Linked DNA regions of Mus musculus: region 1 is reported to be linked to region 2. The links are microRNA targets in miRTarBase. Many come from high-throughput screens and were not tested one by one. Region 2 holds a microRNA gene; the other region holds the end of a gene's coding sequence.

Region 1 (3,574 bases), not on the chromosome of region 2:
AGTACCTGGAGTCGTCCCTGGACATCCTGCAGACGAGGTTTGCCCGACTCCTGGCTGAGTACAGTGCCTCCCAGATGAAGCTGAAACAGCGGCTCACTCGGCTGGAGAGCCAGATGAACAGGAGGTGTTGTGGCTTCTCACCTGACAGGGAGAATTCCGAGGATGCTTCAAAGACTGACTGAAAATGCAGGTGGCTCTGCCTCCTGCTCCCCCCCCCCCCCCCCGGGGCCAGCTCTCTGGGCGACACTATATAGCCTCGGGGTAAAGGGTTTGGCTGTGGTTTCGCCTCAGTGCTACTCATCCTTTGGGAGTGGTGTGACAGCAAGGAAGAGCCTTAGTTTCCTCTCCTATGAAATGGGACTCATGGCTGTCGGCCCCAGAAGTTCCAGACTATCATGAGGTGGCGAAGGTTGTGGCTTTGGAAAGCGTGAAGAGTTCCCAACCCAGTGTATAAGCATATGTGCACATGATTCTAATGTTGTTAGTTATGTTGGCATATGGGTATGTTCAGTTGTCGGCGGAGGTCAGGAGAGGGCGTTGCATCCCCTGGGCTGGAGTTACCTGCTGTTGTAAGCTACCCAGCATGGGTGCTGGGATCCTGTCTTCATTAGGGTTACTATTGCTGTGATGAAATATCATAACCAATGCAAGTTAGGAAGAAAAGGTTTTTTTTTCGGCTTACACTCCACATCATAGTCCATCATTGAAGGAAGTCAGGGCAGGAACTCAAACTGGGCAGGAAGCTGGAGGCAGGAGCTGATGCAGAGGCCATAAAGGGGAGCTGCTTACTGGTTTGCTCTTCTTAGCTTGCTAAGCCTGCTTTCTTATAGAACCCAGAACCACCAGCCCGGGAGTAGTCCTACTTGCAATGGGCTAGGCCCTCCTTCATCTATCATTAGTTAAGGAAATGCTCCACGGACTTGCCTACAGCTGGATCTTAGGGAGGCATTTTCTCAGTCATCCTCTCAGATGACTCTAACTTGTGTCAAGTTGACATAAAAATCCGACCAGCACAAATCCAAACGTGTAGTCCTTCCCATATTTATTGAGGTGAAGGTCCTGCTCTGTTACCCAGTCCAGCCTTCAACTCCCATGCCCAAGTGTTGTCCCCTCGCCAGCCTTCCAAGTAGCTGGGACCACAGGCACACTCCACTGTTTCCAACCCAGATAAGTTTTGTTTTGTTTTGTTTTGTTTTGTTTTGTTTTGTTTTAATGAAATCCATGGGAATGTTTAAGCCCCTTATCCTAGCTATGTTATAAATGGATGTCTTACGGGGCTGGTGAGATAACTCAGTGGTTAAGAGCACTAGCTGCTCTTCCAGAGGTCATGAGTTCAATTCCCAGCAACCACAAGGTGGCTCACAACCATCTATAGGGGGATCTGATGCCCTCTTCGGGCAGGTGGATATATGTGCAAAAGAGCACTCATACATTAAATAATAAATACAATTAAAGATATATATAAATGGATATTTAGTCTCCTTCCTTATTCCCACGTCATCACCATCTGATTGTGAAGACACAAAGAGGATGTAAGTCAGTGCTCCCCAGTGTGCCAGTGGCTCTGGGTTCAATCCAAACAACAACAACAACAACAAAAACATCCAGCAAAACCACAAAACACAGCAGGAAGCAGCTATAAACACAAACTTATAACTTAAGTTCAACTTTATACAGGACAGTTTGGGCACGTTTCTGAGCCTGGCATTTTCCCATATGGGTGCATCCTGGGCCCCTGAAAATGTTGACTTTGTAGTATCACAGCATTGTAAAATGGAGATCCCTTCAAGTCAGGGAAACTAATCTAGATTCCCTGCTATCCAGCCACTGTGACATCTGGCCACTTGATGGGACAGCATGTCTCATCTCTTCTCATTTCTCAGTGGATTCAAAGACAGCCTCCCTCCTTAGAGTAAGAACTTCTGGCTGCCAATGATACAGAAATCGGGGAACTCCTAGAAACCGGCAAGCCCTGGGTTTGGGCAGTCTCTGAAAAGGGCATCGCATGGTGAGATTTCTCCGAGGAATCTAAAGTGGATGCCAGCCCCACCTGTCACTACAAGAGTAGCCTGGTTCTGCTGGAGTCACCTGTTACCACCCATTCTAGCTCTAAGTAGAGAACCATGTGTAAGTAGAGACTGTTAGGTGGAAAGCTGGGGTAGTGGTCCAAGTTTTAAGAGCAGACAACTAAGGCTGGAGAGATGACTCAGTGGTTAAGAGCACTGGCTGCTCTTCCAGAGGGGCTGGGGTTGATTCTCAGCACCCTAATGGTGGCTAACAACCATCTGTAACTCCAGTTCCTGGGTATCCAGTGCCCTCATCTGGCTTCCTTAGGCCCTAGATACACACATCATACACAGACATCCATGCAGGCAAAACATCCATGCACATAAAATACATATTTTTTAAAGCTGAAAAGTGAAACTTAAAAGCTGAGTCTCATGGCTAATGGCCTTGTAACCTGCACCTTTACCCTGAAAAAGCTTCAAGCCCCCAATGGAACTGCATCCTCAGGCTCTTAGCTAGCTGAAAGCTTGCATATTGCAAGAACTTTTTTTTTTTTTTAAGCTAGCAACCAGAACTCCATTCACATTTTTGCCCTTGGGTTCTGAGACTGTGAACAAGGACTTAGGTGTTCCATCCTTCACTTAAATGCAGGCTGGAAGTTCTTCTTCCTTCCCATCTTTGCTCCTTTTTCTCTTTCCTTCCTTCTCTCTTCCTCCTCCGTCTCCTCCTTTCTTTCTACGAAACAAATTTCTCCCAACCCTTTCCTGGACAATATTGAAGTCTCAATGGGTAGATGCCATAATCTATAATTGAATCCTAATGTACTTCATACAAAAAAAAAAAACAACCTCTATGTTCAATTATGCAGTTGGGTCTCTTCTTGTGGGTCACATGACCATTTCTTGTGGGGGCATCTGATGCTTAATGCTTTTAAATGGTTAGAAGGTCCAGGTCTATTAAAGAGCATAGATTCAATTTCATATGACCAGCAGAATGTAATCTGCAGTGCTATGTATTCTCTAACATTGAATATTTATGACAATGAATACATTTTAATAGCCTTAGCTATCAATTATGCCTGCACCTATATTTATATGGGAAAGATAAAGACCTGGATTAAAATGTGCTAATGTCTCCTGCTTCAGCTCTTGTCTTAAGGGAAGATTCAGCCCCAGGGTGCATTCCTCAAACAATGGCTTCCCTAGAAAGATCAGGCAATGATGAACTGGGGATGTATGCTTCTGGGAAGACACGTACACAGTCAGAAGCAGAAGAGACAATGTCCTGGGTACACAGAGACATGAGCCAATGCTTACTGTGACCTTGATCCTAAAAGCAACAAAGAGGAGCTATCAGAATGCAAGGGCAAAGGACAAATATATGACCTACAATATGTTCTACCAGAGAGCATGTATCAGAGGGAGTGACTACATGGACAGACAGATCAGCAGAAATAGACGTGGACATTATTCAGGATGGTAAGTGCATAAAGGAGCTGTCTACCCCAGCCCTGGAGTTACACAAAGAAAAGTGTTCGGAGGAGTCGCCCCGCAACTAGAACTCACAC
Region 2 (4,168 bases):
ATGTCCTTAGCTGTGTCTGACAGGGTCATTGTTTAGGACCGTTCTCTTGGAAGCTGTGTGTGTGTGTGTGTTGCCTCTGTGGGGCACTATGGGAGCTGGCTGTGACTATGAGTGTGGCCATAGTTCATGGTGCGTTCCTTTGCTCCAGGGAGCCGATCAGAGGCGATCCGCCCCTTAGCCCTTCTGGCGCAGACGGGCGCGCGCGCGTGCGTGCGTGCGTGCGTGTGTGTGTGTGTGTGTGTGTGTGTGTGTGTGTGTGTAGACGGGCGCGCGCGCGTGCGTGTGTGTGTGCATGCGCGCGTGTCTGTCTGTGCTCGCATATGTGCCCGTCCTTAAGCCCTGTGTGTGTGTGTGTGTGTGTGTGTGTGCATGCGCGCGTGTCTGTCTGTGCGCGCATATGTGCCCGTCCTTAAGCCCTGGCATCTTGCCAGTCAGTGCATCCCAGCATAGGCAGAGTACATTCTTGTAACATACTCCCTCATGGAACTGGGGTGACCACAGATTGGTCTCATACACCCCAGGTCTGGGTTATCCCTCCCGTTCAAGCCATCCCCAAAGGATCCCAGGATCTTCAGGTCGCAGCACCTACTGACCACAGAACTATATTTACACCTTCCTAGAAGCAGGTGGAGCAAGGTTGGGGATAGGTGCAATGCAGGTTAGGAGCCCAGGGTGTGGTAGATATAGTGGTGCAGCTGGTATTCCCAAACTCCAGACACTGGAGGAGTTTGATTCAAGGTCAGCCTGGTCTACACAGAAATGCTGTTTCAAGAGAAATGAAAAAAGCCAGCAACACACATGTGGGAGGCGGGAATGAAGAGACGTCAGCCCTTACGGAATGAGGCTGTGGAGCTTTTATTTAGTTGGAGAACAACATTCAATACAAGCTTTCAACTCTGTTCTTCCACCCAGGCTTCGATTTGCCCCTGCCCAGAGTAGGGAGAGGACACTGTATGGTCTGGGAAGTGTAACTCAGCCAGTTCCAATTAGTCTGCATGCAGTCTCATTTGTGGGTAGTAGGCAACTTTTTAACTTCCAAGCCTGGAGATTACTTCAACAGGCCAATGGGGGGGGGGGGCATGGATCTGTTCATATCCTGAGGCCTGTGTGGACCTCGCTCCCTGCCTCGCTGTCACCAGCAGAAAGCTGCAGACCCCATGGGATTGCTAGGCACACTGGATCAGGTCAGTGCCTTCTTCCGGAAGCAGAGAGTTGGCATTTAACCGTTAGAGGGCCTAAAGCAGCTTCCTCTTGGGTAACTGACTTCAAAGATGGTATGTATAAGGGGTGGTGCCTGAGCCCCACCAGACTTAGGAAAAGAAGGGCTTCCAGGCCCTGAGGGGACATAACTGGCTTTTAATGCAAGGGTTACCCGCCCATCTATCTGCTTTGGGGAACCACAGAAATCTCAAGGTGGACACCCAGATGCAGGCTTAGAGGCTGAGCCTCCAGCAGACAACGGGGCTTAGGTTGGACTAATTACCCCATTGTTTCCAGGTCTTGCTCACGGCAGACATTCTGCAGGGTTGCCAGCTCCTAGGGGGCTGGACTCCTGTTCCTGCTGAACTGAGCCAGTGCACTGGAATCAACTGTTTCAGCTCAGTAGGCACGGGAGGCGGAGCCCGGAGAGAGGCAGAGCCCTGCCAGCCAGGAGGCAGAGCAGGGTGGGCAGCAGCGGCCTGAGGAGATGGGGTCCAGGGGGCGGAACTTAGCCACTGTGAACACGACTTTGCTGTGGACCTTGCTCACAAGCAGCTAAGCCCTGCTCCTCAGGCCAGTTGTCATGATAGGCTTCTCTGTTACCCAGTACCCAAGACAGACATCCTTGGCGACAGGAGCCCCCAAGGCAGAGCACAGGGTCAGTTGGAAATCCCTGGCAATGTGATTTGTGACTGGCATCAAATCCCATCCCCAGGAACCCCAGCCGTCCGAGGCACAGTGAGGGGGGCAGCAGGTGGGAGCGGAGTGTAGCACCTAAAGAGAGAAAGAAGAGACAGTGAGATTGGAGCATTCTTGCTTGCCTGCCTATCTTGACCAGGCTGGGTCTCACATAGCTGAACACAAGGTTTCCGAATGCACCAGTTCTTCCTGCCTCTACCTCTGGAGTCTAGGATTATAGGTACACCTCACCACACACAGTTTAAGTGGTGCTGGGGACAGAATCTAAACTCAGCTTGCTGATCCACACCCTAGCCCTCCTCTACTTCCAAGAGGGAAGAAGCATTCCCAAAAAAGAGGAGCATCGATCCGTAGGAAGGTTGGAGCGAGGCTGCTGGATGCTGGGCACCCAGCAGTGCCTCTACCCCAGCCCTACAAAGCGGGAGGTGCCTGAAGCCCTAAGGCCAAAGGGGCTGCAGAGCCTTCCCAGCTGCTTCCCACTCTGCTTCTATCCCCACCCACAGCCCTGAGCCCAAAGCAGGCCAAATGGGGCCATGGAGAGGAAGCTGAGGGAGGTGGACGGTTGGAGGGAGGAAGTGACCTCACCCCAGCTGGCGCCACTTCCTAGAAGCCTGAAGGGCAGGAGGAAACTCCAGGGCCTCCCACCTCAGCCCTCTCCTCCCCAGCCAGCTCAGACATAACCCCACCCCCACCCCACACCACCTAGGGCCCAAGCAAGGAGAAGCAGGCCGATGCACCCCAACAATAACACCTCAGTAAAGTTTCCCCTAGGCCTTCCAAGCCTCAGTTTCCCCATCTGTAAAGCAGACTACAACAGTTGCAGTTGGTGGCTCACGTTTATCTCAGCATTGAGGAAACTGAGGCAGGAAGGTTGCCAAGAATGGAGTCAAAAGCCTGCTTAAGCTACATGATGAGTTTTAGGCCTAACTGGGCTACAGTTTGAGACCCTAGTCTTAAATAGAAGAAAAACAAAAATAAAACAACAAAACCCCAAACCTTCTACTAGGAAGGCCAGTGAAAACTTACAGAGAAGGTATTTAGCACCCAGTACCAGGGCAAGCCACAAAATTTGGGGCCTACCCAATGTAGAGTAGTGTCCTGCGTGCCAGTTAAAGTTTTCAGGGGCCAGCAAGCTGATCCAGCAAGTGAGCAGAGCTGCTATGGAGCCCAATGCCCTGAGCTCAAACCCAAGAACCACGAAGAAGAAAAGCATACGGACCCTTGCAAGTTGTCCTCTGATCTCTGCACTTGGGAACACACACACACAATTTTTAAAAATTGTTTAAAGAATTTCAATGTTGGAGAGATGACAGGTTTCTTTCCCAGAACCTACATGACAAGCACAGCTATCTATAGCTCCATTCCCAAGAGCTCCAACGCTCCCCACTGGCCCCTGTGGGTACCAGGCATACATATGGTGCACAGACGTACGCGTAAGCAAACATTCACAAACAGACAATAAAAATAAACTTAAGAATGGTGGTGCACACTGTTAGTCCCAGCACTTGAAAGGCAAAGGAAAGCAAGAACCAGGCCTTGGACAGTACTATCTCTAAGAGTTCAAGGCCAGCTTGGTCTGTGTAGGGAGTTTCAGACCATCCAGGGCTACATAGTGACACAAGTGACCTTGTTTCAGATAAAGAGCTGACTCAGTGGTTAAGAGTGGCTACTGCTCTTGCAGAGGGCCCGAGTTTGGATCTCAGCACCTGTCACAACTACCTGTAACTCCAGCTTCTGGGGATTTCACTCCCTCTTCTGGTCTCTGAGTGTACTGCACTGTCATGCACAAAGACCAGACAACACACACACACACACACACACACACACACACACACACACACACACGTCTTCTTTATAAAACATCAGGGTCGGGCTGGTGAGATGGCTCAGTTGGTAAGAGCACCCGACTGCTCTTCCGAAGGTCCGGAGTTCAAATCCCAGCAACCACATGGTGGCTCAAAACCATCTGTAACGAGATCTGACTCCCTCTTCTGGAGTGTCTGAAGACAGCTACAGTGTACTTACATATAATAAATAAATAAATCTTAAAAAAAAAAAAAAAAACATCAGGGTCTTCAGTGATAGGTCAATCAATAAAGTGGTCACCATGTAAGCAAAAGGGCTTGTGTTGTCCCCAGGTATGGCAATTCACACTTGTAATTCCAGAGCTGGGGAAGGGAAGCCACAAGATGCTCTAGGGCTCACCACCAGCCCGCCTCACCAGCTCCATGTCCCAGTAAGACACCTTCTCTGAGAAAACAAGGTTGGA

What was found. Region 2 holds the annotated microRNA mmu-miR-3074-5p (GUUCCUGCUGAACUGAGCCAGU, at 1,555-1,576, shown strand). A microRNA usually pairs through its seed, bases 2 to 8, with sites in the 3' UTR of a target mRNA and lowers its output. Matches are read on the target gene's strand: a 7mer-m8 pairs with bases 2 to 8, a 7mer-A1 pairs with bases 2 to 7 and ends in A, and an 8mer does both.
Region 1: the mRNA of Cnga3 is a reported target of mmu-miR-3074-5p. Seed matches in the 3' UTR shown: 7mer-m8 at 719-725 and 7mer-m8 at 736-742.

The regions. Positions count from the first base shown.
Region 1 is chr1:37,261,915-37,265,488 of GRCm38, forward strand. Cnga3 (cyclic nucleotide gated channel alpha 3) reads left to right here. Exons shown (of 6, transcript NM_009918.2): 6 at 1-1,470. The coding sequence ends at 182. Among named protein-coding and RNA genes, the nearest start is that of Inpp4a, 36 kb to the right of the region's middle.
Region 2 is chr8:84,206,281-84,210,448 of GRCm38, reverse strand. Mir3074-2 (microRNA 3074-2) reads left to right here and starts at 1,542; the gene lies at 1,542-1,624. It overlaps Mir23a (microRNA 23a), which reads right to left and starts at 1,931; the gene lies at 1,857-1,931. It overlaps Mir27a (microRNA 27a), which reads right to left and starts at 1,777; the gene lies at 1,691-1,777. It overlaps Mir24-2 (microRNA 24-2), which reads right to left and starts at 1,634; the gene lies at 1,528-1,634.